Linked DNA regions of Canis lupus familiaris. The protein of the gene in region 1 purifies or fractionates together with the protein of each later gene. This does not show direct contact. Links are inferred from orthologs where the notes say so. Each region holds a gene or a part of one and is shown on either strand. Other genes may lie near its edges.

Region 1 (3,336 bases):
TGCGCATGGTCCCAAGAGGATAAATATGGAGATCCTGAGGGAGGAGGGCCAGGGTTCCTGCCCTCAGAGGGCTCAATTTCTTACTCTTTTTTCTGTTTTCATCAGGTCTGGGACCTGCTGCCATGGGGGATATGAAGACTCCTGATTTCGATGATCTCCTTGCTGCCTTTGACATCCCTGACATCGATGCCAATGAAGCCATCCACTCTGGGCCAGAAGAAAACGAAGGGCCTGGAGGCTCAGGAAAGCCGGATCCTAGTATAGGAGGTGACTCTGGAGAAGCACCGGCAGCAGCTGCCAGGGACAGCCCTGAGGTGCCAGCCCAGGCCTCTGATCACGGCCTGCCACCGCCAGACATCTCGGCAGTCAGTGTCATCGTCAAGAACACTGTGTGTCCTGAGCAGCCTGAGTCCCCAGCTGGGATTTCAGGAGGAGATGGGCCCCGGGCTGGGGGGGTGACTAAGGAAGGGCCTGTGGGGCCTCGTCTGATGCAAAATGGTTTTGGGGGCCCTGAGTCATCCCTTCCAAGTACACCCCACTCTCCAGCTCCTCTCAGTGGGGGTACCTGGAAAGAAAAAGCTATGGAAGGCAAAGCTACTTTGGACCTCTTTGCTCATTTTGGGCCTGAGCCAGGGGAGCACCCTGATCCCCTCCCTCCCCCAGCACCTTCCCCACCTCGGGAAGGGGCCATGACCCCACCTCCTTTCCCCTCTCCCTTTGAGCTGTCCAGGGAGAATGGCCCAGCCTTGCTGCCACCTGGTTCTCCCCCAGTACGGGGGACCTTGAAGCAAGACAGCTGCAGCCCCCTTCATCCTCAGGGCCTGGCCGGGCTAGGCTCTAGCTTGAGCCCTGAGGCCACGGGTATTCCTGCCAGCGCCTCCCCTCCCCAGGTTGCTGGGTTGCCCTTCTTCAAGCAGTCTCCAGGGCATCAGAGCCCTCCTGCCTCCCCCAAAGTGCCCTGTTGTCAGCCCCTGAAGGAAGAAGAGGAGGAGGGGCCGGTGGACAAGCCTTCCCCAAAAAGTCCCCAGAGCCCCTCTAGTGGAGCTGAGGCTGCAGATGAGGACAGCAATGACTCCCCTGCTTCTTCCAGCTCCTCAAGGCCTCTCAAGGTGCGGATCAAGACCATTAAAACATCCTGCGGAAATATCACAAGGACTGTAACCCGGGTCCCCTCAGACCCTGATCCTCCTGCCCCCTTGGCTGAGGGGACCCTCCTGGCTGAGGCTGGCCTCCTAAAGCTATCCCCTGCAACCCCGACCCCCGAGGGTCCAAAGGTGGTGAGCGTCCAGCTGGGTGACGGCACGAGGCTGAAGGGCACCGTGCTGCCTGTGGCCACCATCCAGAATGCAAGCACTGCTATGCTGATGGCAGCCAGTGTGGCCCGCAAAGCTGTGGTTCTGCCAGGGGGCACTGCCACCAGCCCTAAGACTATGGCTAAGAATGTGCTAGGTCTGGTGCCCCAGGCCCTGCCCAAGGCGGAGGGGCGGCCAGGGCTGGGGACTGGGGGGCAGAAGGTGAACGGTGCCTCAGTGGTGATGGTGCAGCCTTCCAAGCCGGCCACCGGGCCAGGTGCAGGGGGTGGCACGGTGATCTCGCGGACCCAGTCCAGCCTGGTGGAGGCCTTCAACAAGATCCTCAATAGCAAGAACCTGCTGCCTGCCTACCGGCCCAACCTGAGTCCCCCCGCCGAGGCCGGGCTGGCCCTGCCTCCCACGGGCTACCGCTGCCTCGAGTGCGGGGACGCCTTCTCACTGGAGAAGAGCCTGGCGCGGCACTATGACCGCCGGAGCATGCGCATTGAGGTCACCTGCAACCACTGCGCCCGCCGCCTGGTCTTTTTCAACAAATGCAGTCTGCTGCTGCATGCCCGAGAGCACAAGGACAAAGGGCTCGTCATGCAGTGCTCACACCTGGTCATGAGGCCCGTCGCCCTGGACCAGATGGTGGGGCAGCCAGACATCACGCCCCTGCTGGCTGTCCCACCTGCCTTCGGACCTCCAGCCTTGCCTGCCCTGGGCAAGGGTGACGCGGCTGTCGCTGGCGCTATTACTGCTGTCGCCGCCGAAGCCCCTGTGCTACCACTGTCATCTGAGCCGCCTGCTGCCCCTGCCACCTCGTCTTACACATGCTTTCGCTGCCTAGAGTGCAAGGAGCAGTGCCGGGACAAGGCAGGCATGGCCGCCCACTTCCAGCAGCTTGGGCCCCCGGCCCCTGGGGCCAACAGCACTGTGAGTTGCCTGTCCCAGCTCTCCCCGGGGCTGGAGCCCAACGCTCTGGGAGTCAGATCTGGGAAGATGTTGGGGGCTCGGTCAGGGGAGGTCATGGGGTCGGGCCTCTCCTTGCTGACTTACCTTGTCTCCACTCCTGTTGACAGGTATGCCCAACCTGCCCCATGATGCTTCCCAATCGCTGCAGCTTCAGTGCCCACCAGCGCATGCATAAGAACCGGCCTCCCCACGTCTGCCCTGAGTGTGGGGGCAACTTCCTACAGGCCAATTTCCAGACCCATCTCCGGGAGGCCTGTCTACATTTGTCTCGCCGTGTAGGATACAGGTGCCTCCTGCCTCTCCTCCCTGGAGCCTTGTGACTGTTTCCCCACTGCCACCTCCTCCCCCCACCCCCTGGCACTTTATGGCCTCGTGTGTCCCAGCACCAGGCTTTGAGCTGGCCTGTCAGGGAGAGCCCCATCTCCTGCTGAACCCCTCAGCCTCAGATTGGTCTGCTCTTGCCCTGCTCCCGTGGAGAGGGGAGAGAGCTCCGGTTCGGCCTCCATAGGCCTCCGGCTAGGAGCAGGGCCCGGGGGACAGGCTGGAGACACCCTGCCTCACCTCAGCGCCCCCTGCCCCCCAGGTGCCCCAGCTGTGCGGTGGTGTTCGGGGGCGTGAACTCCATCAAGTCCCACATCCAGACGTCGCACTGCGAGGTTTTCCACAAGTGCCCCATCTGCCCCATGGCCTTCAAGTCTGCGCCCAGCGCCCATGCCCACCTCTACACCCAGCACCCCAGCTTCCACACGCAGCAGGCCAAGTGAGACCTGGGAGGGAGCAGGGTGGGCTGGAACGGGGTCGGGGTCCTGATGGGCAGGGTGTCTGCACTGTCCTCTCCGCCCACACAGGATGATCTACAAGTGCGCCATGTGTGACACGGTCTTCACTCACAAACCCCTCCTCTCCTCACACTTCGACCAACACCTGCTGCCCCAACGTGTCAGCGTCTTTAAGTGCCCATCTTGTCCTCTGCTTTTTGCCCAAAAAAGGACCATGCTGGAACACCTCAAGGTATAGGAGACAAGGGACAGAGGCGGGGTGCTCGACTGTGGGGGGTTTGGGGAATAGA
Region 2 (4,384 bases), on another chromosome or scaffold:
AAAAAGCCAAGGATCTTTGTCTTTGTCTATTGCATTCCTGCTGTGTCCCAGCACTGACAGCAGGACCAGGCACATAATAGACACTCAATAAACTGTTCTTGAAGGAACAAATAAACCCCAGGCCTTGTAACAGCTGCAGGAACATGAGACCGTGGCCTTAAGAGACTCACGTTCCCATGTGGGTGCCGGAAGTAAATAGATGAATAAAATACATGCAGTGGGCAGGTGGTGATCAGAGCAAGGAAGAGAAATAAAGCAGGTGTACTGTTTTCCGAGGACTATAGTAACCAAGTACCACAACCTGGGCACAAACAGCCGCTATTTATTGTGTCTCAGTTCTAGAGGCCAGAAGTCTGAAACCAAACTGTGGGCTGGGCCCTGCTAGTCTGAAACCTGCTGGAGAAAACTTGTAGGCTCCTTCTTGCTTCTGCTGGTCTATAGGCACTTTTGACTCTCCTTGGCTTATAGACACCTCACTCCAACGCTGTGTCTTCACAAGACCTTCTTCCTGTACTTCTCACATCCTCTTCTGTGCCTGTCTCCGTGTCCAAATTTGTATGTAAAGACACCAGTCTTATTGGATCGGGGTCACCCTCATGACCCCATTTTAACTTCATTACCTCTGTAAAGATCCTGTTTCAAAAAGGCCCCATTCTGAGCTACTGGGGTGGGCGTGGGAGGTTGAACATATCATTTGGGGGGGGACACACCGTTCAACCCCCTAACAGCAGGGTATGAGGTTGAAGGGTGCTGCTTTAGGGAGGGGGTAAGGGAAGGCCTGGGTTGGTGACATTTGAGCAGAGTTCTGAATGAAGAGAGGGGGTGAGTCCTAGGGACATCTGAGGGAAGGGCATTGCAAGGAGAGGGAATGGCCAGTGCAAAGCATTGTAATCAAGATACCTGCCTCACTGAAAAAAAATCGAAAAAGAAAAGTCAATAAAAAATGTAAAAATTAAAAATAAAAATAAATTTAAAAAATAAAAATGATAAAAATAAAATTTAAAAATAATTAATTAATTAAAGAAAAAAGAGAGAGAGAGAGATACCTGACTTCCAATGCTGTGAGGATTCAGTGGCTTAATAGATGAAAAAAATCTAAAAGCTGGCACATAATTAGCAGGCGGTCAGATCATCACTGTTATCCATCCTTTTTCCAGGCTTTGCCTCCGTGCCTGCTGTGGGGCTGGGGATCCAGAGTGAGCTAGTCAGACACTATCTGGTCTTGGTGGTGCTCAGGGCCTAGCTGGGGAGACCAAGAGCCAGCAGGTCAATATATAAGAGGAGCATATAGGGGATCCCTGGGTGGCTCAGTGGTTTAGCGTCTGTCTTCGGCTCAGGGTGTGATCCTGGGGTCCTGGGATCAAGTCCCATGTCAGGCTCCCTGCATGGAGCCTGCTTCTCCCTCTGCCTGTATCTCTGCCTCTCTCTTTCTCTGTGTCTCTCATGAATAAATAAATAAAATCTTTAAAAAAAAATCAAGAGGAGCATGTGGTCTGATGGTTGATAACCTCAGCGCTCAGTCCAGCAGCGTGATGTCATAGAGGGTGACTGCTGGGTGGGGCTGGGTATCTCTGGAAAAGGCCTCTCTGTGAAGCTGAAGGATCTCTCCAGATGAGCATGTCCTTAGGGGAAGTCCCTGGAGAAACATCTGCTGGTCAGAATGAGATCCCTGACCAGGCTGGCATTGGTCATGGGAGGAAGCACCCCAAAGGTAAAAACCCAATGAAAATGCCTCCAAGTCACTTCTGGTTCATTATAAAGACCATGAGTCCTGATTAAATGGGTCTCAGACCCTAAATTTGCATACCACCCCTCATGGCCCTGTCATTTGTATCCCCGAGACCAGAAAACATCCATGGGAAACAGAAAAAAATTCCCTGAGTCAGACCCCAATGTTCATGTCTGACTTCAGGTCTAGGTGGATGCAATTAAGAGGAGGTACCGTGGATGTCTGTGTTTACCTGGTGGCCTATTCTCCAGAAGAGCTAATCAGCATGTCCATCCCATAGCTCCGTATTCTCAAAGGGTTCTCTGGGATGGATTCAACACATCTCCTCAGATACCCTAGAAAATCCTTTTCTCCTGGGAAGTCATTTATTCCCTTACTGTTTCAGGGCGATTTGCCAGCAAATGGGAGGGTATGGCAGGTGTTTAATGACTACCGAAAGCAACTGTGTTGAATTAAGTTCTCAAAATCCCTTCTTCCCAGCAAAAAAACAACCAGCATGGCTGCTTTGACATTCCACGGTCATGTTTCTTGCCTTCCAAAGCTACATTTTGTTATTTTGCTTCATTTCGGAAGAAAAGCCCAAAACCCTTTTAAGCTTAACCATCCCCTCTCCTGCACTTCCCCTCCCACCCCCCCATAGTTGGTGCTATGGAGAAAGCTCTGGAAGGCAGACCTGAGTTCAAGACCCAGAACAAGGAGGGAGTAAGAGGGAGACAGGGAGAGCACACAAGACCATTCACCCTCTTATGTCATGGGGACTCTGGTGGGTTCTAGTCACTCATTCCATAAATATTTATGCAGTGCCTCCTAAGGGCCAGGCACTGTGCTGGGCTCTAGGGGGTCCACCCCTAAACCCAAAGACAAGTGCCCGCCCTTTGGCAGCTTGCAGTTTACTGTTCAGTCACATCTGATCGAAGAGTCCAGAAGAGTTTCAGCATGAGAATCCTAAAGACCAGGGATTTTGCTTATTGGCCCTCCCTCTGATTTAACAGTCTTCGGTTTTTCTCCTCTGTAAAATCGGTTCAGCTATCCTTGCTGCATAACTCAGAAGGCTTTGTGGTGAGGGCCCCGGGAGATGGTGTCCAGAAAAATGGAGTGGGAGAGTGGCCATTCTGGTGGCTCTTTATGGCATCTGTACTAGGTGGTAAGAGCTAGAGTCTTTAACTAACCCTAAGTGGCCAGTACCGTGAATTCCCTTTATTCAGAGCCAAAAACAGATGGGAGGGGTTGAGTTGCCCTTCCAAGAGGCTCAGGACTCCAAAGCAGACAGTTACCTGAGAGTACAAAATGCTTTGATGAGGGTTTGATGAGACCAGAGAGTTTAGGGGTGCCAGATTAAACACAGAATATACTTGTTTTTTATTTTTATATATATATTTTTAATTTTTATATATTTTAATATATTTTATTTATTTATTTATGAGAGACACACAGAGAAAGAGACAACATAGGCAGAGGGAGGAGAAGCAGGCTCCATGCAGGGAGCCCGATGCAGGACTCCATCCTGGGACTCTGGAATCATACCCTGAGCCAAAGGCACTCAACCACTGAGCCATCCAGGCGTCTCAACACAGGATATACTTAAACTAGAAAATTGTTCATTTGAAATTCAAATTTAACTGGGCATCCTGTATTTTCATTTGCTAAGCTTGGCCACCCTATAAGAGGTTCTGATGTCAGGCTGGGGGAGGCCTGAGGCATCAGAGTGAGCCCGTTCCTGGGGCTGGTGTGCCAAAGGGGTGGGTAAGAGCAGTGAGAACAGGTAGGGGAGGGAGGGCCCAGAAGCCAGGTGGTTTCTGCAGCCATCTGTCCCAGGGTAACCCACCACATCAGCCAGTGGGCTTTGGCTTAGGAATTTTGGGCTTAGGTCCTCAGCAGCTCTAGTGTTGGAGCTGCTCCTGTGTACGCCCCGTAGTTTAGGCTGAGCTGGGCCTGTGGGGCAGCTCCTCTGGGCCACGCCCAGTTTCACCTGACTTGCCCATCACTGTAGCTCCTTATATAACCCAGTACCCCCACCAAGCTTCAGTCTTCTTGTGTCCTCATTAAAGCTCGACTTTCCCAATGCTTTCACTTGAAAATTAGAGATCTGGGCATCCTTGCAATTGACTCATTCAGCCATTTCCTGTTCAACATTCACCAAATTACTTCTGAGCACCTGCTATGTGCTGGAGAGATACAGAATTGGACAAAATAGACACTCAATTAGGAATCAGATAAAGTTATACCCAGTTGTTAAGTATGTAGTAGGTATTAAATTATGATTGCCATAAGAACCATGGGGGCAAGACATAATAGGGTGGGTGTGTCTGATTTGTTGGGGAGTCCACAAAGCCTACCCTGAAGGAATGAATTTTGAACTGGGTTTTGAAGGATGAGTAGGAGTAACCTGAGAACAACAGTGGTACCAAACACTGCTAAATAACCTCTTTTACTACGGGAACTAATATGATTCTCTAAATTCTATGACACTATGTGGTGGTATCCACATTTTATTGGCCCAGAGAGATTTCTTTTCCCCCCAAAGATTTCACCCATTTATTCACAAGAGAGAGAGAGAGAGAGAGAGAGGCAGAGACACAGGCAGAGGGAGAAACAGGCTCCACCATGCGGGGAGCCCGATGCGGGACTCGATCCTGGGACTCTAGGATCACGCCC

What was found.
Region 2: the proteins of ZNF687 (region 1) and ZMYND8 purify together in Homo sapiens (affinity purification with mass spectrometry; 4 studies listed by BioGRID and IntAct, with this or other methods). This does not show direct contact. The link is inferred for Canis lupus familiaris from reciprocal best matches to the Homo sapiens genes ZNF687 and ZMYND8.

Annotation. Positions count from the first base shown.
Region 1 is NC_049238.1:61,012,392-61,015,727, forward strand, and holds part of ZNF687 (zinc finger protein 687), read left to right. Parts: intron 1-105; 5' UTR 106-122; coding exon 123-2,228; intron 2,229-2,374; coding exon 2,375-2,553; intron 2,554-2,850; coding exon 2,851-3,027; intron 3,028-3,115; coding exon 3,116-3,278; intron 3,279-3,336. UniProt on the Homo sapiens protein: May be involved in transcriptional regulation.
Region 2 is NC_049245.1:35,085,368-35,089,751, reverse strand, and holds the start of ZMYND8 (protein kinase C-binding protein 1), read left to right. Parts: upstream 1-1,570; 5' UTR 1,571-1,711; intron 1,712-4,384. UniProt on the Homo sapiens protein: Chromatin reader that recognizes dual histone modifications such as histone H3.1 dimethylated at 'Lys-36' and histone H4 acetylated at 'Lys-16' (H3.1K36me2-H4K16ac) and histone H3 methylated at 'Lys-4' and histone H4 acetylated at 'Lys-14' (H3K4me1-H3K14ac).